Oryctolagus cuniculus: one gene and its partner. The protein of the gene in region 1 binds, or shares a complex with, the protein of each later gene. Links are inferred from orthologs where the notes say so. Each region holds a gene or a part of one and is shown on either strand. Other genes may lie near its edges.

Region 1 (11,218 bases):
AGCTGGGTCAACACCCGGCCGATCGCTGGCTCGCAGGATGAGGTCAGGCTGGGGCCTGGGAGAAGCCGTCACACTTCTCAGAGTGGCCGCGCCGTCCCAGGCCATCACTCCCGCACTTGCTGGCCGCTGGCAGGGTCAGGGTCCGGCTTTCAGTCGTTCCGATGCGTGTGCAGTGGCCTTTCCTGGTTGTGTAGCCATTCACTTTTCAACCTTTCTTTACAAAATTTGTCAAACATAAAATTGAAATGTACATGGGAGACCAGGAGAAGCACCTGGCTCCCGGCTTCGGATCAGCGTGGTGCGCCGGCCACGGCGGCCATTGGAGGGTGAACCAACGGCAAAGGAAGACCTTTCTCTCTGTCTCTCTCTCTCACTGTCCACTCTGCCTGTCAAAAAAAAAAAAAAAAAAAAAAAAGAAAGAAAAGAAAAAGAAAAAACTGAAATGTACAGAAATAGAATGTTACCCACTAATATAAAGCTTTTTTTTCCTTTACAAAAAAAAAAAAAAGAGATTTATTTATCTGTTTGAAAGGCAGAGTTACAGAGAGGCAGAGAGAGAGAGAGAGAGAGAGAGAGAGAGAGAGAGAGGTCTTCCATGTGCTGGTTCACTCCCGAGATGGCCTCAACGGCTGGAGCTGGGCCAGCCTGAAGCCAGGAGCCAGGAGCTTCTTCCAGGTCTCCCATGTGGGTGCAGGGGCCCAAGGACTTGGGCCATCTTCCACTGCTTTCCCAGGCCACAGCAGAGAGCGGATTGGAAGTGGAGCAGTGGGGACTCAAACTGGCGTCCATATGGGATGCCGGCACTGCAGGCGGCAGCTTTACCCGCTATGCCACAGCTCTGGCCCCTATAAAGCTTTTTTTTTTTTTTTTTTTTTTTTTTTTTTTTTTTTTTTTTTTTTACTTGAGAGGCAAAGTGACAGAGAGACAGGAGAGGTCTTCTATCTGCTGGTTCACTCCCCAAATGACCACAACAGCCAGGACTGGGCCAGGCAGAAGCCAGGGGCCTGGACTCCATCCGGGTTTCCTAAGTGGGTGGCAGGGGCCCAAGCACTAGCACCATCATCCGCTGCCTTCCCAGGTGCATTAGCAGGGAGCTGGCCCGGGACTTGAACCGGTGCCCATAGGGGATGGCAGTGGCGGCACTGGCGGGCTTTACCTGCCACACCACAGTGCCGGCCCTGAACCCCACTTTCAACTTCCGATTTGGAGGCTGTGACGTTGAGAGGCTCCAAATCCAGGGAGAGGGAGCCCCGACATGTCTCACCAGCAGGCAGGTGCCCTCCCCGGAACAGGCCATGGCGGTCACCTCCACCTGGCAGCCCTGTCTCCTCCTGCACAGCTCTCAGCTGCCGGGAGAGTATCCAGGAGTCTCAGGGCAGGACCCCCAGCACCCCCAGGCGTGTCCCTTTTGTGGCAGGGATGGACTGAGTGTGTCCCCCCAAAATCATATGCTCGGGACTGGCGCTATGGCGCAGTGGATTAGGCCACTGCTCGGGACGCCAGCATCCCAGGTGGGTGCCGGTTCATGTCCCACCACTCCACGTCCAATCCAGTTCCCTGCTAATGCCTGGGAAAGCAGCGCGAGATGGCCCCAAGTGCTTGGGCTCCTGCACACACAGAAGACCTGGAGGAAGCTCCTGGCTCCTGGCATCGGCCTGGCCCAGCCCCAGCCGTTGAGGCCATCTGAGGAGTGAACCAGCACATGGAAGATTCCCTCTCCTTTCTCTCTCTCTCTCTCTCTCTCTCTCTCTCTCTCTGCCTTTCAAAAAAATACATCATGGGCCAGTGCCATGGCTCATTTGGTTACTCCTCCACCTGTGGTGCCGGCATCCCATATGGGTGCCAGGTTCTGTCCTGGTTGCCCCTCTTCCAGGCCAGCTCTCTGCTGTGGCCAGGGAGTGCAGTGCAGGATGGCCCAAGTGCTTGGGCCCTGCACCCCATGGGAGACCAGGAGAAGCACCTGGCTCCTGGCTTCGGAATGGCGCAGCGCCGGCCATGGTGGCCACTTGGGGAGTGAACCAATGGAAGGAAGACCTTTCTCTCTATCTCTCTCTCTCTCTGTCTAACTCTGCCTGTCAAATAAAAAAAAAAAATCAAACAAAATACAATACATCATAACCACAAAATCCGCGTGCCCCAGCCCTAGCCCCACTGTGCTCCTGCACCGGAGCTGGGCCGGGTGAGACGCGCTGCGGGGGGCGGGGGCGCCTCTCTGAGGGGACGCGTGTCCTGGAAGACACCAGGAGCCCAGCGTCTCCCTGCACCAGCCAGGAAGCGAGCCTGCGCCGGAAACCAACACGCGGCCGCCCAGCCTCCAGCACCGAGAAAACAAATGTGTGTTTGAAGCCGCTCCGTCTGTTCTGTCCTGTCTGTGTGTCCGCACAGGCAGGCCAATGTCGCGGGCATGGGAGACCGGAGGGGGCGTGGCCTCAGGGCTTCTCTCCAGCCTCGCCCACTGCAGGCTTCCGCAGAGGGACTCCCGTGAGCAGGGGGCGTGGGGGAATTGGTGGACCCCTTGTCAACAGTATGAGAGTATGAATGCATTGGAAACTACAGAGAGTAGAGAGAACAGTTAAATGGACACTACTGTTATTTGGAAGGCACAGTTACAATAGAGAAGGAGACGGGGGGAGAGAGAGAGAGATAGAGAGAGACAGAGAGAGACAGAGGGAGGGAAAGGGAGAGAGAGAGAGGGAGGGGGAGAGGGAGGGAGAGGGGGGAGAGAGAGGGGAGGGAGGGAGGGAGGGAGGGAGGGGGAGAGGGAGAGGGAGGGAGGGAGGGAGAGGGAGAAGGAGGGGGAGAGGGAGAGGGAGAGGGAGAGGGAGAGGGAGGGAGAGGGGGAAGGAGGGGGAGAGGGAGAGGGAGAGAGAGAGGGAGAGGGAGAGAGAGAGAGAGAGAGGGAGAGGGAGGGAGAGGGAGGGAGGGAGGAGGGGGAGAGGGAGAGGGAGAGACAGAGAGAGATTGATCTTCCATCTGGTGGTTCACTCTCTAAATGGCCACAGTGGCCAGTGCTGGACCAGGCCGAAGTCAAGAGCCGGGAACTCCACCTGGATCTCCCACGTGGGTGCAGGGGCTCAAGCACTTGGGCCACTGGCTGCTGCCTGCCCAGCCCATTAGCCGGGAGCTGGATGGGAGGCAGAGCGGCCTAAACCCAAACTGGCCCTCGGATGTAGGCTGCTGGCTTCGTAGGCAGCGGCTTAACCTGCTCTGTCACCACCTTCTGTTTTTTGCCTTTTTTTTTTTTTTTTTTTTTTTTTGACAGGCAGAGTGGACAGTGAGAGAGAGAGAGAGACAGAAAGGTCTTCCTTTTGCCGTTGATTCACCCTCCAATGGCCGCCGCGGCTGGCGCACTGCGGCCGGCGCACCGCGCTGATCCGATGGCAGGAGCCAGGTGCTTCTCCTGGTCTCCCATGGGGTGCAGGGCCCAAGCACCTGGGCCATCCTCCACTGCCCTCCCTGGCCACAGCAGAGGGCTGGCCTGGAAGAGGGGCAACCGGGACAGAATCCGGCGCCCCAACCGGGACTAGAACCTGGTGTGCCGGCGCCGCTAGGCGGAGGATTAGCCTAGTGAGCCGCGGCGCCAGCCTGTTTTTTGCTTTTTATCGGAGGTTTTCCCAAAAGTGAGTTGAGGGGGTTGGGGCTGGTGTTGTGGTGTAGCAGGTGGAGCGGGCCTGCCGCACCACCAGCATCCCATCCTGTATGGGAGCCCCGGCTGCTCCACTTCCCATCCAGCTCCCTGCTGTGGCCTGGGAAAGCAGCAGTAGACGGCCAAGTCCTTGGGCCCCTGCACCCAAGAGGGAGAGCTGGAAAAAGCTCCTGGCTCCTGGCTTCAGTCTGCTCTAGTCCTGTCTGTTGTGGCCATCTGGGGGAGTAAGCCACCAGATGGTAGAAATCTCTTATGCTCTTGCTCTCCCTCTCCCTCTTCCTCTTTTAGGTGACTAAATAAAAATTAATTTTTTTATTTACTTGAGAGGTAGAGTTACAGAGAGAGAGAGAGAGAGAGAGAGGTCTTCCACTGCTGGTTCACTCCCCAGATGGCCACATTGGCCGGAGCTGCCCTTTTCTGCCAGTACTCCAGTGGCTTGAGCTCTCACACTTGCGGACCTCTGCCCCTGACAGTCCCTCTCCTGAGTGCCGCCTCGCAGCTCAGCTCCCACTGACGGGGTAGGCCTAGCAGTTAGCAGAAGCCCGATCCTGGATCTGAGTTCTTGGGATCAATTTCTGGCTCTGAATCCCAACTCCCAGGGAAGCCCTGGATGGCTCAAGTACCTGGGTCCCTGCCATCCCAACGAGGGACCTGGGCCGTCCCCGCTCCCAGCTTCAGCCCAGCCAAATCCCAGCCATGGTGGGCACTTGGGGCATGCGCCAGTGGGCAGGGCACTCGTCTGACTCTCTCTCTCTCTCTCTCTCTCTCTCTCTCCTCCCAAGATTTATTTGAGAGGTAGTTACAGACAGTGAGAGGGAGACAGAGAGAAAGGTCTTCCAGCTGGTGGTTCACTCCCCAGATGGCCTCAAGGGCCAGGGCTGGGCCAGGCAGAAGCCAGAAGCCTGGAACTCCATCTGGGTCACCCACGTGGGTGGCAGGGATCCAACACTTGGACCATCATCCACTGTCTCCCCAGGGACATTAGCAGGGAGCCGGACTGGAAACGCAGAGCAGGGGCTTGAACCAGCTCTCCCATGGGATGCTGGCATCACCGGCAGCTATGCCAACGCCAGCCTTTCTCTCTGCCTCTTGAACAATGAACTTTAAACATTTTTTTTTGGGGGGACAGGCAGAGTGGACAGTGAGAGAGAGACAGAGAGAAAGGTCTTCCTTCCATTGGTTCACCTTCCAATGGCCGCTGTGGCTGGTGCACCGTGCTGATCTGAAGCCAGGAGCCAGGTGCTTCTCCTGGTCTCCCATGGGGTGCAGGGCCCAAGCACTTGGGTCATCCTCCACTGCACTCCTGGGCCACAGCAGAGAGCTGGCCTGGAAGAGGGGCAACCAGGACAGAATCCGGCGCCCCGACCGGGATTAGAACCCGGGGTGCCGGCGCCGCAGGCGGAGTATTAGCCTAGTGAGCCACGGCGCTGGCCTACTTTAAACATTTTAAAGCGCCACCTGCGACGTCAGCAGATGGTCCCTCCCTCCACGTTCCAGTCTCCACTTTGACCCCCATCTTATTGCCTTGCAAGCCTCTGCTGTCTCCCAGAGGACCGAGGCCAGGCCCCGCCATTCTGGAACCTCCGTGCTGGCATGGCGGAAGGGAGTTAGGAAATGTTTGTTGGACAAATGAACGAATGAATGAATGCATGAATGACTACGTTCTGGGATGAAGCTCTACAGAGCGTGAGGGGCAGAGGCTGTCGGGAGAGCGCCCTCGGTGCCTGGGCGGGGGCGGCTCTGAGCGCCAGGGTCGTGGGGACTGGACGGGGGTGGGGTCTCCGCGGGGCAAGAGAGGCCCAAGTGGCAGGCATCACTTAGTCCGCACACCCACCCTGAGATGGCCACTCTCCCCATTTGACAGCTGGGGAAACTGAGGGACGCCGAGGCGTGCGCCTTGCCCGGGGTGGGGGGAAGATCACCAGGGCATGGGGGCGGTGCTGAGGTTCCAACACGGGGGACCCCAGCCGGGGCTCGCGTCCATGACCCGTGTGGCCCAGCGCGGCACCCAGCAAGCACTCCCACCGACTGTGCAGACGCCGCCGCGGGCCGGAGCTGGGCTCCAGGGTCTCGGAGGCCGCGGGCGGCTCTAGCTCCGCCCCGAACCCGAGTGCCAGCCAATCCAGAGCCGGAGCACCGGGGGCGGGCGTGGCCGGCGCCCGTTGCCATGGCAACAAGCGGAGGCCGCGGGCGCGCGCGTGCGCAGACCGTGGAGCGGGTGTTGAACCGGCGAAAGGTGACGTAAAAGCGCGCGGGGTGGAGCGCGGGGCTCGGGACGTCGAAGCCCTGCGTCCTCCGGCACCCGGAGCGCAGGGAGGGCGCGCGAGGCGGCGGCGGCGGCGGCGGCCCCAGCCCCAGCCGGACCGGGCCCGGGAGGCGCGGAGCCGACGAGCGAAGCAGCGCCGAGCGCACCGCGCGGCCGGCGCCCCGCCTGGGCCAGGCCCGCTCGGCGCGAACCGCGACGGTCCGGACCCTGGCCCGGGCTCCCGAGGCCCCGCCCTCCTCGGGCCTCGGGACTAATCGGATTGAGAGCGCGCCGGCTCGGGCCGCGAACTCGCCAATTGCGGAGGGCGGCGGCCACCGCCCAATCCGGAGCAGACAGGTGCGAGGTCCGGAAGACGGCGGCCAATCGGCGGCCGTTGCGGCCTGCGGGGGCGGGGCCCGGCCGGTAAGGAGGCTCGAGTGACGTCTCCGCGCGCCAATCGGGAGTGAGGAGCGGCCGTGCCCGCCCGCCCTTCCGGCCGGAGCGCTCTTTACCAGGGGCGTGCAGCCCGCCTGCCAATCAGAGCGCGGCTGGGCGCCCGGCAGCCAACCCCGGAGGAGCGGCCGGCCGGCGTCCGCCGCACCCAGGAGCCGGGGATGTCCTACAAGCCCATCGCCCCCGCCCCCAGCAGTACCCCTGGCTCCAGCACGCCTGGGCCGGGCACGCCGGTCCCCACAGGTGAGGCTCCAGCTGCAGCCCTGCCCGCCTGCCTGGGCGACCGAGGTCCGCGGCGCTGGGCCCGCTGCCTCCCCGCGCGGGGCCTCAGTTTGCTGGCCCGTGGAGTGGGCGTGCCCACGTAGGGCGCGTGGGTGGGGTCCGTGCCCGAAGTTGGTGCGCGTGGAAGGAAGCATCCTCCCGCGGGTCTGGGGCTTGGACAGCTGGGGGGCGGCGTCCCCGCCCGCGCTGACCTCTGCCCCGCGCCTGGTTGCAGCCGGAAGTGTCCCGTCCCCGTCGGGCTCGGTGCCGGGAGCCGCTGCCCCTTTCAGACCGCTGTTTAACGACTTCGGACCGCCGTCCATGGGCTACGTGCAGGTGGGTGGCCAGGGGCTTGGGGGGGCCCGCGCTTACTGCCCTGGGTCGCCTTTTTTTTTTTTTTTTTTTTTAATTCGAGAGGCAGACAGAACAGTGAGCGCCCATCTACGGGGTCACTCCCCAGCTGCCCGCAGCCGCCAGGTGTGCCCGGCTGAAGTCGAGCTGGGGACTCGAGGCAGGCCTCCCCGCTGCATGGCAGGGACCCGGCTGCTTGCCTGCACCTGCCGCCTCTCGGGGAGGGGGCGTCTGCGGCAGGGGGCTGCACGCGAACCCAGCCTGAGTGGGACGTGGGCATCTCAGCCAGGCCAAATGTCCGGCCCCTCTCGTCTCCTGCGCTAGGCGATGAAGCCCCCCGGCGCCCAGGGCTCGCAGAGCACCTACACGGACCTGCTGTCGGTGATCGAAGAGATGGGGAAGGAGATCCGGCCCACCTACGCGGGCAGCAAGAGCGCCATGGAGCGGCTGAAGCGAGGTGAGCGAGCCGAGCGAGCCCGGCCCCTGATGTGTGAGGCAGAGAGGCCGGGGCTGGACCAGGGCTGGGGGCACCACCAGACAGAGCCAGCCCCTCTTCCACCTGTGCCCTGGGGGGGGCGGAGACCCTGCCTGTCACCTCCCGGTCCCCAACCCCGCCCCTGGGCTGTGGAGACCCTGCCTGTCACCTCCCCGTCCCCACCCCCGCCCCGCCCTGGGGCTGTGGAGACCCTGCCTGTCACCTCCCTGTCCTCACCCCCGCCCCTGGGCTGTGGAGACCCTGCCTGTCACCTCCCTGTCCTCACCCCCACCCAGGGGCTGGACCAGGGCTGGGGGCACCACCCAGACAGCCAGCCCCTCTTCCACCTGTGCCCTGGGGGGGGCGGAGACCCTGCCTGTCACCTCCCCGTCCACACCCCCCACCCCGCCCCGGGGCTGGACCAGGGCGTCACCACCCAGACAGAGCCAGCCCCTCTTGCACCTGTGCCCTGGGGGGGGGCGGAGACCCTGCCTGTCACCTCCCCGTCCCCACCCCCGGCCCCGGGGCTGTGGAGACCCTGCCTGTCACCTCCCCGTCCCCACCCCCGGCCCCGGGGCTGTGGAGACCCTGCCTGTCACCTCCCCGTCCCCACCCCCCCGCCCCGGGCTGTGGAGACCCTGCCTGTCACCTCCCCGTCCCCACCCCCCCGCCAGGCATCATCCACGCCCGGGCCCTGGTCAGAGAGTGCCTGGCGGAGACAGAGCGGAACGCCCGCACGTAACGGACCTCTCCGGCCACTGCAGCGCGCCTGCTTCTCCCTGGCCCTCGCCCCGAGCTGCACTTCCGGCCTGGGCTTCCTTCCGGGTCCCACGGTGGGTGCCCGCCAGGGCCCCTGGGTGGCTCTCGCTGCAGCCGGCAGCGGGCAGCACTGCCCCGGGCCCCTTCCCCTGCGGGAGCAGCACGGCCACTGGGAGCGCCTCCCGCCACGACCGGCCCCCAGCGAGGAACCCACTGCCGATTCTCGCACCCAGCTTTTCTCCTTGCCCCCGGCCGCCGCCTCCCCCGAAGGCCTGGCGCCTCCCGCCTTGTCTCCCGGGCCGTAGCCACTCTTTTTCTTGGTGTGTCTTTTGCTAACTATGCCCTTTTTATAAAAATAAAAGATGATTTGGAGTTGTTCTCTCAGCGCCGAGCCGGTCTGGGTCTGGGTCGGGGTCGGGGTCGGGGTGGGTCGGGCTGGGAGAGGGGCAGAGCAGGTGCGGGGAGCGGGGAGGCCGCCCGGACCCGGGCCCTCTGCCCTCGCCCCGGGCTTGGCGGACCCCGCTGACCTTCGCGTGCCACCACCAGGGGGCAGCGCAGGGCCTTGGCCGCCTCCACGCTGGAGGCGCGGGCCCTGCCGAGCCTGGAGGGCGCTTCCTGGGGCGGGGGAAACCGCGCCCTTACCTGCGTGAGCGCCCGGCCCTGGAGGGCTCCGAACCAGGACCCCGCCCGAGACGGACACAGGTGTGGGGGAGGGCACGCCACTGCTGCTCCCTCCCCCAGCACCCGGGCAGGGCTCCAGGGGAGATTCCAGCGTCGGGAGACCCGGCCCATCCCTGCGCTGACACTGCCCCGGGGTCTAAGGGCAGACCTTGGGACACGCTCAGCGGCTAGCCCAAGGCCCTGGGGTGGCAGCAGTGGCAGAGTGACCGTAGGCCTGGGGCCCCGGTACCCCAGCTGCGGTGGAGGCGAGTCCGGAGCCACCGGCTTCCGCCCAGACCCTGGCCCGCGTTCCCGGGAAGCAGAGCGAGGAGCCGGCCTTGCCAGGCTCCGCCCCTCGTGGCCCCCCGGGAGGGCGGGGCGCACCAAAGGAACCCAGGGTCTCAGGGGACTCGGAGCCGCACCGGAAAGAACCGGCACTCGGGGAAAGGCCTCTGTCCCGCGGCCTGCCCTCCGCCGCCCAGGGCGGGGCTGCGCGGACCCCGCCGGCCGGGCCCAGGAAGGGGGCGGGGCGGCGGCGGTGACGCGGCGGGGAGGGGCAGCAGGGGCGCGGGCGGGCGGGCCGGCCGGGAGAAAGGTCGGGGCCATGGGCCCGCGCTGCACCTCCAGAGGGGCCGGCCTCCGCTGGAACCCGAGGCCGGGGCTGGGGGCGCTCCGGGCTCTGGCCCGCAGGCCGGCCGCCCCCGCATGAGCCCTAAACTGGAGGTAAGCGGTTGGCTGGCGAGCCAAGGCGCAGCAGGGGACGGGGACGCCTGGGCGCAGGGGGAAGTGGGGACAGCCGGGCCTCTCGCCCGCTCGCTGGCGGGGGGGATGGAGGTGGAGGTGGCGGCGAGGGTGGGGGGCGGGGTGCCCGCGGCAGAACCTTGGTGCCTGGTTAGGTCGCAGGTGGGCGGAGCGGTCTCCTGGGGCCGGAGCCCGCGCGATCCCTAGTGGAGCACCCTGGCTTCAGTCCTAGGGGGTCAGCCCTGGGGGAGGAGGATGGACCAGGACAGAGCGCGGGGCGGGGGTCCTGGAGGGATGCTGGCCGGGGGGAGTACATGATTGGCTGCCTGCCGGGCTGTCCGGTTTTGGCAGGTGGGTTCGGGTGCGGCGCGCGGCGGCGGGGGGGGGGGGGCAGTGTCAGAGATGCTGGGGCGCACGGGCGCGCTCTGGCGAGGGCCAGAGGCAAGGTTTCGGTGGACGTCCGGCAGCGGGGGGACGCGGGACCGGACAGACCTGGGAGAGGGGTCCAGGGGGCGGGTCCCCGGGGGGCTGGTCTTGGAGGGCGGGCCCGGAAGGAGGGGCTCGGGGGCTCCTAGGGGCGCGGCCCCGGAGGGATGCCGTTTCCAGGGCGCTAAGGACGAGGCCCCGGCGAGAGAGGGGAGACTGGCCGGACCCTTGCCCGCTGGCCCGTGCCCGCGGCTCCGAGGGGGGCCCGCGTCAGCGCGCGGTTGCCATGGCGACGGGCGGGCGGGGGGCGGGGGCTGCGCGGAAAGGAGGTCAGCGCCGAGCGGGGCTGCGGCTCCGGCCCCCGGCGGCGCGGGTGGCAGCGCTGGGCTCGCCTCCGCCTCGCCCGCGGCGGGCCCGGGCATGGGGTCCCGCAGCCCGAGCCCTCGGGCCGGCGCGCAGGGCTCGGGGCCGCGCGCCGCCGCCGCCCCGCACTGACGGCCGCGCCGTGCCCTGCGCCAGGCGGAGCGGAGGCCGCGCGCGGCCCGCCGGGCGCCGTCAGGATGCTCATCAAGGAGTACCACATCCTGCTGCCCATGAGCCTGGACGAATACCAGGTGGCCCAGCTGTACATGATTCAGGTGAGGGCGAAGGGGAGGCGCGCCGCGGGGGGCGGGATAGGCCGGGGGCGGGAGGGGGGAGAGGCCGGCCCGACCCCGGCCAGAGAGGTGCGGGGCCTGAAAGGGGCTGGGGCCCCGGGGAGCAGAGGCCCCTGCTCCGGTGCGGGAGGGGCTGGGGTAAGGGCTTCGGGCAAAGGGGCAGGGAGGCCGAGGGGCGCCCCCACCCGCAGTGCCCACCCCACTCCGCCCACGTCTGATCCCCTGTAATCCTCCAAGCTGTAGTCCCCTGGGGAGGCAGCAAGGAAGGGGGGGGCCGGTGGGGACGGGGTCTAGAGCACCAAGCCCCACAGCTGGGACAGGCGCGCGCCGCAGGGACCCCAGGCTGAGGGAGGGGTCAGCACTTAGTTGGAGAAGAGTGGGCCTGGGCAGTTCCAGATCTGCCCCCCAGAACGGGGGGGTCAGAGACCAGAGGTTCTCGGGGTTGAATGGGCCAGGTTTGGCCTCCAGAGCCCTAGACGGTCGGGCTGTGAGGACGCTCTCAAGCTATGAGGGCTGCGGCAGGAGCTGGGGCTGGGGTCCCGGGA
Region 2 (10,653 bases), on another chromosome or scaffold:
CTGACTGTCACTGGGAGTCTTGCTGGAGGCTCCTTACTCCATAATTCAGACACTTTCAATTAGGTGAATGTGCTGAATTTTAAAAAATTACTTGTTTTAGCTGCAGTTCATAGGCCACTCGCTGTGCTGATCTGGTCTTGTAAGCAGACTGCATATGAAACTACCAAAAGAGTTACTGCCCAGTTAAGCATAAAATAGTTAACCTTCTCTAAAATCCATTTTTTCTCTTCAGGCCAAACAGGTGAGTTGATGGGGCAGGTGATAGGCATGGCATGGATGTTGCTTACGTGGGTCACAAGCAGAGCCCTGACTGCAAGCTTAGTGGAAGGCAGAGGGCTGATTCACCCTGCGTACAGTCGGCTGCTGAGGCTTAAGGCTGTGTTGTCAATCATTCAGATCATCATAGTGCTTCTTGGATTACTGAACTTTTTCTATGGTTATGAGTTTCAAGACAAGAATCTCACGTGGCTGTTTCTGAATGCTTAACGAAAGCAGCAAAGGCAAGCTTCCCATTTTTCTAATAGGAAGCACACTTGGCTGTGTTCGTTATCAGAGATTTAGGCTTTTATTCTCTTTACAACAGAATAGGTCAAAATAGAATAGACTTGGAAAAGATGAGAAAAATATACCAGAGACCAAATGTCACCCAATTGTAGCTGGCATTTTTGGAGGTGAAAGTAACTCAGGCTGAAGCTATTTAAATATCATTTCTAAAATTGTGCTGCAGCCTTACCTGTAGCGCAAGAACTTTTCTAAGTAAGTTAAGAAATATTGTCAGTCATAAGGATCATGATTTTTAATAAAATGGGAAGTGAGAAATGGAAAGTGTTGTATTAGAGTCTCTTATTGAATGTAACTTTTTTGGGGTATCTTGATAAGAATTAGTTCGTTTTCTCAAATGCCGCTTCTAGAAGGAATCTTTCAAAGGGATACTTGTTTTATTATTTGAATTTTCATTATATTGTTGAATTTTTTTTTTCAGCTGCCTTGGAAATCATTGACTAGCATCATTGAATATTATTACATGTGGAAAACTACTGACAGATACGTGCAACAGGTGATTTTTTTCATGTTGCTACTCGTATGATACCATTACTGTGAACTTTCTATTTCTATTTTAATATTTCTTAGCAGTGTAGTAATTTTAAATGTTTTGTTTGCTTTATCTTTGACCATTTTGAAGCTACCTGATTTCATATTTTTAAAATATTTTTAAAATCATCATCTTAATATTTCCTTGACTTCAGCATTCATTGTGACAGATAGTTTGGGAAGATGACAGGGAAGGATAGCTCTAGAGAGGCATCATTCCCCTTGCAAACGACACGTGCTTTATCCCTCTGTGAGTGTTGCTGATGAGAAGTACCAAAGGTGTGACAGCAGCACAAGCTTCTTGAACAAGTTATTTTTAATAAAGATTTGAACACTTACAGCATTGCCATCAGACATATAATTTGAGATAAAAGATCCTCTAACTATCTTTCATGACGCTGGTGTGATTATATCCCCTAAGTCTTTGACCTTAACTGTTGTAGTGTTACTAGTCTGATGTTTTAGTAATGTACATAAGATTGTTCTCAAATTTTCTCTACAAGTGGAGAATGATTTAATATTTGAGTCCTTCCCGAATGTCCTAAATTCATGCAACTATCTCAGTTAATTACTTTGAATAGTATTGCCTTTGGGGAGAAGTACAGTTTCTGAAATGACATTAGCCAATGCTTGTTTTACATTCTTACCTTGCTCATGTGCCAGAACTCATTAAGTCAGAGACAGATATTTTAACAGAGACATTTTTTCGGAGTATGCAGGTTACCCAGTGTCAAATAATGGATGCTATAAAAATACATTTTAAGGATTACTTTTAAAAAGTACCATAATGAGTTTTTGAGGTTATAAATAGTGAATAGATGGCCTTGGCTTGTTGAGTCATTTCCAGAGTCAACATCATACAGAATTCAAAAGCATGATTGTTTCAAACTACTTACATAGAAATGAAGACCTTGGAGTCTGGAAACCTGTGTTACTCAAATCAACAAGCAACCATAAATGTGATGGAGATGATGGCCTCCTTGACAATATTTGTGAATTGTCAATACTTGACAGCTTGAATGACAATATGTCCAAAAATGTCATTGCAGGTTGTCCCCCTAAATGTTTTTGTTTCCTACTCTTTGGAAAAATGGAAGACAGCCTTATATTGTAGTTTGTGTTACTTTTGGACATTAACTGTGTTTTGCATTTGCTATTGCATTGCTCAGTGTCTGGATTTTATTATATAATCTCCTTCCCATTCCTTTTCCTGCGTTTAGTTCCTAATTGATACCAGTAAAAACTTAAATGAGTTCAGCCAAGATTTAAAGTTTACTGTAAATCTCCCAACATTTGAGAGTAGATGCTTATTTAATTCTGCTTAGAATAACTGCAAGCTCTTTTCTCCTACTTGGATTTTGGGAAATAATCATCTCTGAATATTCTTCTAAAAGTGAAGATTATATGTTATTTTCCTCCCAGAAAGGCAAGTAAGAAATAAAATAGAAGTTAAATTTGAAAAGTAAAAATGTTACTTTAAAAGTCCTGCTTATTCACTACTGGAGGAATGAGGAATTGAGGTGTTCATTGTGCTATTTTTAAAATCTGTGTCTAAAATGTTAATACTTCAGTTCCGTCTCAGAACTCAGTGACTTTTCTTACTGCAGTTGAAGAATATGCATATGAAAGAAAGCTTTTCTTGAAATAGCAATTTTTGAATTATGCCTTAATGTTTCTTTTCTTGTGTATTTTTAAAGACAATGAAGTGTTAATAATTATTTGGCATTACATATAAAACATTTTATCCATCTTTTGAAATAGAAACGTCTAAAAGCAGCAGAAGCTGAGAGTAAGCTGAAACAAGTGTATATCCCAACTTAGTAAGTAACAGAAATCTTAAAATATTTGTCATGATCTTCATAAAGCATGTCATTTTGTTCAGTGTCAGTCAAATTTGAATTTCTTTGTGTTCGTCATTTCTTCTATAAAGCATGTGACTTGTTTTGTATTACATTACTACAAAGATGTTTTTAGACAAAGGAGCAAGGGAGAGAAACTCCAAATAAACTAACGCAAGAACCACAGGGAGAATGCCACGAACTGTACTTCCATTCAGAGTTACAGGGAAAGTATCAGAAAACTAATCTATGAAAGTCTATATCATTTGAAGCAATGTGTTTAAGAAATCCAATGCTTTTGAAACCTTGCAGGGGTGGGAAGTCTTTTTCAACCAAGGGCCATTTGGATATTTGTAACAATATTCCAGAGCCATACAAAATGATAACTTGAAAACTGGCCTGCTACAGATATATTGAATTTTGAGTCTTGCCTGCAGTTGCCTTGGCAGGGCCAGACCAAATGATTTTGCTGGCTTTATACAGCCCCCAGGCTGGAATTTCCCCCCTCCTGAATGACAGAGTGGGTTTTGTTTGGATATCGTGTATTGCCCTTATGAGGTTTGTTGTTGACATGATTGAGGATTTTACATTGTTTTCTTTATTCTAATACTATAAATTTTGATAATTTCAGGTGTCTGGCATTCTTTTATTATCCTGTGGGTTTCGAAACCATTGTCATATCACAATAAACACCAGTTTCCATATTTTGTGTCTTAAATGAATTATGCTCAATTGAGGTCTTCAGGATTTGAACATTCATTATTCAAAAACATTAATTTATTGAGTACCATGAATATATTGCTATAGTGAGATTAAAATGAAATTTATTACAAGTTTCCATGTGCTTCTCCAAGATTTCCCATTCTTTGAGCTAAGTACAGTTTTTTATACCTAACCATTTGTTTGCTGTCTTTCATTGTTTGCTGTTTTTGTGGACAGGAGACCTCACTGGCAATGAATTGTGATTTTCATATTAATCTTTTACATCATACAAATAACTATTGTTTAATTTTTGAAGTATGTAATTTACAGAGTCCACCATTTGTATTTAGAACTGTAATGTTCCACCTGCAGAGTAATTTCTGATTTATTAAGAGCAACCTCTCCAGAAATAATGTTGCAACTTAGGTGTATTAGATTTTTCAAAAGCAAAAAGTCCAGCTTTCTTATACCTCACAGTGCTTGCACCACCAAAGGAAAAGTACACTTAACCAGGTTTAACCGGGTAATGCAGATCATTGTTCCTAGTCTGTTTTGAATTGACTTGGCAGTCTTGCTCCAGTCAGGGGCCTGCAAGCTATAGTCTGCAGACCAAATCTGACCTATTGCATGTTTTTGTAAGTAAAGTTCTATCGAAACACAGACATGGTCGTTCATTTATGTATTCTCTAACTCTGCTTTTATGCCACAATGGCAGAATTCAGTGCTTTTGACAGAAAACCTGAAATATTTACTATCTGCCCCTTACAGAAGAAGTTTTCCAAGCAAATGGTTTTGGGCATCAGGAATGGAAGAGTACTTCAGAAAGTGTATGGAAAATGGAATTAAAAGATGAGTTTATTTTTGTGCAAAAAATTTGAAGTTTATGCAGTTTTTAATAATGCATATTTTCCATGAACTTTTTAAAAATTAATTCATTTGAAAGGCAGAATTAGAGAGAGTGAGAGACACACAGAGAGAGGTCTTCCATCTATTGGTTCACTCCCCAAGTTTCTGTAAGGACCAGGTCAAAGTCAGGAGCCAGGAGCTTCATTGGGTCTCCCTTGTAGGTGCAGTGGTACAAGTACTTGGGCCATCTTCCACTGCTTTCCTAGGTACATTAGCAGGGAATTGGATCAGAAGTGAGGCAGCCAGGACTTGAGGGTAGCTTCATCTGCTATCCCCCAGTGCTGCCTTCCTCCCTCCCCCGCCCCCACCCCCTTCCCCTTGAATGTTTTAAGGACTTTGCATATGTGTCAGTGATCATCAGGAGGATAAACCAGAGAGATGAAGTGTATGAAGTTCTCAAGGGAACCAGCAGAATAGGATCTGGTGTACAGATGAGAGGGGGTTTGGGCACTAGATAAAATAAAAGGTGATTTCTTACGATGCATCCTTAAAAAGCATTTTTATATTTGTTTCACAAATTGCCCCAGTGAGACTGTTTGTCCTCTAGAACTAACCTGTGGGTCCTTGGTTTTACAGAGCATCTTCAGTGATGCACGTGTTCATACGCAGCATTGGTACACACTCCTTTTGTGATTATTAGCATCACTGCTTTATTCAGTCCAGTAGCATTCTAAAAAATTGGTATTTGCAGTCATTCTTTTTTTTCAGGCAATTCAATTGCAAATTTGCATGAGCTGTTCTTTTTTTTTTTTTTTAATATTTATTTATTTGAAAGTCCGAGTTACACAGAGGCGAGGCAGAGAGAGAGAGAGGTCTTCCATCCGATGGTTCACTCCCCAATTGGCCGCAACGGCTGGAGCTGTGCCGATCCGAAGCCAGGAGCCAAGAGCTTCTTCCAGGTCTCCCACATGGCTGCAGGGGCCCAAGGACTTGGGCCATCTTCTACTGCTTTTCCAGGCCTTAGCAGAGAGCTGGATGGGAAGTGGAGCAGCCAGGTCTCGAACTGGCGCCCATATGGGATGCTGGCGCTTCAGGCCAGGGTGTTAACCCGCTGCGCCACAGTGCTGGACCCTTCATGAGCTGCTTTCTACACATATATTTATCTTAAATGTCAGAAGTTTTCTCATTTCTGGGAATTCATAAGAGTGGACGTTTGGCCTAGTGATTAATACTCCAGTTAGGACACTGGCATCTCATGTTTGAGCTTGAGTCCTGGCTCTTCTCCCTATTTCAGCTTCCTGCTGATGCAGAGGCTGAGAGGCAGCAGGTGGATGGCTCAAGTAGTTGAATATTTGACACCCATGTCCAAGACCTGGTTTGGGATCCCGATCCTGACTTCAGCCTGTCCTATCCTTGGCCATTACAAGCATTTGAGAAGTGAAGCATAGATGGGAGCGCTGTCACTCTCTGTTTCTCTATAAAGAAGTAGATAGGTAGGTAGGTAGGTAGGTAGGTAGACTTGTTCTCTGGAAAGTTTGCCTATAGGCTTCTGATAGCTGTCTCTTTTTCCTCCTAAAAATATTTTTTTTTAAATGGTTTTTCTATTTTCAAGTACAATGTACTCTTCCTCATAAAAATTCAAACATATTAGAAATAATTATCCTGAGCATTCAGAAGCTCCTGGAATCCTAACTTAGCTCTGGAGATAAGCACCACTGGACAGTGCGGTGTCTCTGTTGCACCCGTCGCTTTTGTGCAGGTCCCTGGAGGGCAAGCGTGTAGACTCAGCAGCTCTCACACGAGCAGCAGGAATGGGACAGTGATAACAACAATGTTACCTTTAACCTAGGATTAATTTTGATCCAAAAAATTTGTTTTTCTCAGGAGAATTTATTCTAAGTGATGAAACTTAATAACGTGTCGTTCAAAAGCATCACAGGATGTTCTAAGGAAGCTATGTTGGTTGGAGAAGAGATATGGCCACATTTACTTTGTGAATATCAGCCATAAGAGATTCAGCTTTGTTTTGTCAAGATGAGTGCTTTAGATCCATTTTAACACCTTGTGTTAACACGAGGGTTTTTATCCTTCAGATGTTTTGGAGTTTATGTTAATGATGAATCAGTAATGAGATGTAGAGTTTTTTGCCTTGTTTAAAAAATCATTTTTATTACCTCACTGCACGTTTCATGGAAGCAGCAAACCAAATCCCAACCAAATATCCACCAGCAATGGCAAGCCCGGGCCTGTGAATGGAGCAGTGGGGAATACATTCCAGCCCCAGAATCCTCTCTTAGGGCGAGCCTGTGAGAGCTGCTTTGGTAAGTGTTTCCCCCCAGGATGTCCTTTCTTTTGGGGCCTGTAGGTGGGGCGGGAGCTTGCAGTCTGTGGTGCGCAGAGAGCAGCGAGCAGATGCCCTTCCTTACCTTCTGCCTGGACATAGGGCAGTCACTGAGTGCTTGCTAGGTGCACAGCCCAGCAAGGCCTCAAGGTTCCTGTGATTGCTTCTCCGGGCCCCTTCGTCTGTTGAGCTTCTGATGGCAGTATCTGCCAGCCTTTGTTCAGAGTTGTACTGGCTTCACCCAAATCATGGTTCGTGATACATACCAGATCCCCTCTGGGGCTTCTCGGTATACTTGGGAAAATGAAAGGCAACAGCTGAATCTGTAGGGAATACCTGTGTGGACAAACTGCTATGTATAACCCTCAGATCCAGTCCCTCCAGGCACTATGTTGGGAGACATTGTTTTGTGATAGTTGCTTCTGGCCCCAAGGCCCTGCGGTATTTATGCTGGCACAGATAGTATGATGTTATATTATGCTGCTTGCCTGGGTGTTAAGTGGGCTTGGACAGAATACTACATATTTGGTAGTTGATACAACTTTATACATTTATTTAATATCTTAAGCAACAGTATAATCTCTTGATGGGGACATTGGTGACATTATAATTTCTTTTTCTTTCTAATCATGGTGGCTGGGGTAAGAAAGGAAAGGAAATGAATGTTATTGAATGTTCACTTGGTGTAGCTGGGGAGTCTGAGCAGCTCTCTGGGAGGGTAGAAGTAGCCTACTGCCTTAAAGATGGAGGCATGAGGGACATTTGTGACCCCGCCGCATACTCTGCTTTAGAGAAGGCAGTGACAGCCAAGTCGTGTAATCAGTCATCTCTCAGACCCCAAGCAAAATGTGAACCAGACAGATTGCTGGCTTCCTAGGTAGGAATGGCGCATGTAGGGATGGTCTGCACTGTAGGGACAAGGAGGGAAGCAATCTGTGGACAGCTAGAGTCTTTTGGTCAAAACTTTACATAGATAGCAATGTCAGCATCTTGGACTTGAGAATGCTCAGATTTTGAAGTTCATGTATGTTTAAATGAAATAAAAAGAATTCTACTGGCAAATGATAGTGACTTAATCTTTTATTTTTTATTATTATTATTATTTTTTTATTTAACAGGTGGAGTTATAGACAGTGAGAGAGAGAGACAGAGAGAAAGGTCTTCCTTCTGTTGGTTCACAACCCAAATGGCCGCTACGGCCGGCACTGCACCAATCCGAAGCCAGGAGCCAGGTGCTTCTTCCTGGTGTCCCATGTGGGTGCAGGGGCCCAAGCACTTGGGCCATCCTCCACTGCCCTCTCGGGCCACAGCAGAGAGCTGGACTGGATAGGAGCAACCAAGACTAGAACCCGAAACCCATATGTGATGCCGGTGCCACAGGTGGGGGATTAGCCAAGTGAGCCAGCCACGGCGCCGGCCCCTGTTTGTTTGTTTATTAAAGATTTATTTATTTATTTGAAAGTTAGAGTTACACAGAAAGAGAGCTTTTCCACCCGATGGTTCAATCCCCAAATGGCCACAACGGCTGGAGCTGCGGTGATCCAAAGCCAGGGGCCCAAGGACCTGGGCCATCCTCCACTGCCTTCCCGGGCCACAGCAGAGAGCTGGACTGGAAGAGGAGCAACCGGGACAGAATCCAGCACCCCAACCAGGACTAGAACTCTGGGTAGCAGCGCCGTAGGCAGAGGATTAGCCTAGTGAGCCGCGGCGCCGTCCTGCAGTTGGCATCTTAATATACACAGTTTGAGCATTGTGATCTGAAGAAGATGACTTATTACAGATCAGAAAAGAATGTGCCAAGGCAGATTTATAGCACTAGAATCATTTTCCTGCTCCTCTTCGACCTAATGTTGAAACATCAATGTTTTCTGTCTTAAACTTCATATCCATCCTGGATATACAGGTTTCTTAAATGTTAACATGGCATAATTTAAATTGCAAGATAAAATTTACACAGACTTGCAGTGTTGTTCAGCCATGTGATAAGTCAACATGTTTGGGTCTTAAAATCATGTTGTGTGTACTCATTTGATACAGATTTATAGTTTTGAACAAGAATCTGTTTTTAGAAGGAGAAATCATAACATAAGGATTTTATCTATTGATTAAAATAAAGGGTTGGAAAACAGAGACCTGTTTCTGTTAGGTTCCTAACCTTCTTAGTGGGGCCTTTCTGAGTACCTTAAATAAACCCAAGCATGGTTTATGAACCGTAGGCTTATAAACTGTGACTTAGGTTTTAAGCACTAGTAATAAACACATTATCTTTCTGAGAACTTATTCCAGAAATGTACACCAAAAAATATTTGAATTAGTGAAACAAAAAAAACTCCCTCAGAGGCACAATGTAAAATATAGGATCCCTCACCTAATAGTCTCTCTCTCTCTCTCTCTCTCTCTCTAAGATTATTTTATTTATTTGAAAGACAGAGTTACAGAGAGAGGTTGAGACAGAGAGGGCTTCTACCCACTGGTTCACTCCCCTATTGGCTGCAACGGCCGGAGCTGCGCCGATCCAAACCCAGGAGCCAGGAACTTCTTCTGGAGCTCCCACGTGGGTGCAGGGGCCCAAGGATTTGGGCCATCGTCTGCTGCTTTCCCAGGGCACAGCAGAGAGCTGGAATAGAAGTGGAACAGCTGGGACTAGAGCCGGTGTCCATATGGGATGCCGGTGCTTCAGGCCAGGGTGTTAACCCGCTGCACCACAGCACCGGCCCCCCCCTTTTTTTTTTTTTTTTTAAGATTTATTTATTTATTTATTTGAAAGGCAGAGTTAAAGAGAGGCAAAAGCAGAGAGAGAGAGAGAGAGAGAGAGAGAGAGGTCTTTCACCTGCTGGTTCACTCCCCAAATGGCTGCAATGGCTAGAGCTAGGCTGGTCCGAAGCCAGGAGCCTGAATATTCCACATGGGTGCAGGGGCCCAAGGACTTGGGCCATCTTCTGCCGCTTTCCCAGGCGCATTCATAGGGAGCTGGATTGGAAGTGGAGCAGTCATGACTTGAACCGGTGCTGATACTTAGATACTGTACATACCCACTATGCCACAGCAGCGGCCCCTAATAGCCTCTCTTAATATGCGCCACAAGTGCTTGATTTATAATAAGGATAAATGATTTAATGAAAGATACATGTGTATGTGTTGTACTTTCATACTTGGCTTATAAGTTAGGGGAAGAAAAATAATCCTATAAACTGAAAATGGCTTTGGGATGTTTTTGAAATATTTGATTATATTTATACTGATGTTACAAATTACATGGCATCCTTTTTTTTTTTCCTCTTACTTTTCTCTCATCTGTAGCTACACAGTCTCACCAGTGGTATTCTTGGGGCCCACCTAACATGCAGTGTAGATTGTGTGCAACTTGTTGGCTTTATTGGAAAAAATATGGAGGCCTGAAAATGCCCACCCAGTCAGAAGAAGAGAAGCTATCTCCCAGCCCAACCTCAGAGGTACACGAGCAGCAGTGGGTTCTAGTGTTGAAAATGTCATGCTTTTCAGTGATCAGATCATTCCCTGGAAGCAGAAATAAAATACAGGATAATGTCATAATGAGCAAAGCTGTTTTCATAACTGAACATAGCACTACTATATTCAGGGTGGGTGTGGAAAGAAGAGCAGGAAAAAATAATTTTCTCCCCAGGGATTCAAAATAATGGTCTTGGGAGATTACTCAGACAAAAGAATACTGTATGTGGGAGGTGTCAACACAACCCGAGAGTTTACAAATTAAATGTTTATTTTAACTGCTTTTGAAAACAGTGTGTAATCTTTAGATACTATTAAGCATGTCTTATTACATAAAGTAATAAATGTAAATTAAGCATTTTCTTC

The links. Proteins that work in one complex are often made in the same cells at the same time.
Region 2: CDK2AP2 (region 1) and MTA3 share a complex: the UniProt entries of both Homo sapiens proteins name them as parts of the nucleosome remodeling and deacetylase (NuRD) repressor complex. The link is inferred for Oryctolagus cuniculus from reciprocal best matches to the Homo sapiens genes CDK2AP2 and MTA3.

The regions. Positions count from the first base shown.
Region 1 is NC_091432.1:4,571,659-4,582,876, forward strand, and holds CDK2AP2 (cyclin-dependent kinase 2-associated protein 2), read left to right. Parts: upstream 1-5,897; 5' UTR 5,898-6,505; coding exon 6,506-6,587; intron 6,588-6,840; coding exon 6,841-6,941; intron 6,942-7,280; coding exon 7,281-7,413; intron 7,414-8,105; coding exon 8,106-8,173; 3' UTR 8,174-9,573; intron 9,574-9,820; exon of another isoform or gene 9,821-9,905; coding exon of another isoform or gene 9,906-9,942; intron 9,943-10,536; downstream 10,537-11,218. Other genes in the region: PITPNM1 (membrane-associated phosphatidylinositol transfer protein 1), read left to right, coding at 9,906-9,942, 10,537-10,655. UniProt on the Homo sapiens protein: Acts as a component of the histone deacetylase NuRD complex which participates in the remodeling of chromatin.
Region 2 is NC_091433.1:159,917,802-159,928,454, reverse strand, and holds part of MTA3 (metastasis-associated protein MTA3), read left to right. Parts: intron 1-982; coding exon 983-1,057; intron 1,058-2,853; coding exon 2,854-2,912; intron 2,913-6,674; coding exon 6,675-6,799; intron 6,800-10,119; coding exon 10,120-10,271; intron 10,272-10,653. UniProt on the Homo sapiens protein: Acts as a component of the histone deacetylase NuRD complex which participates in the remodeling of chromatin.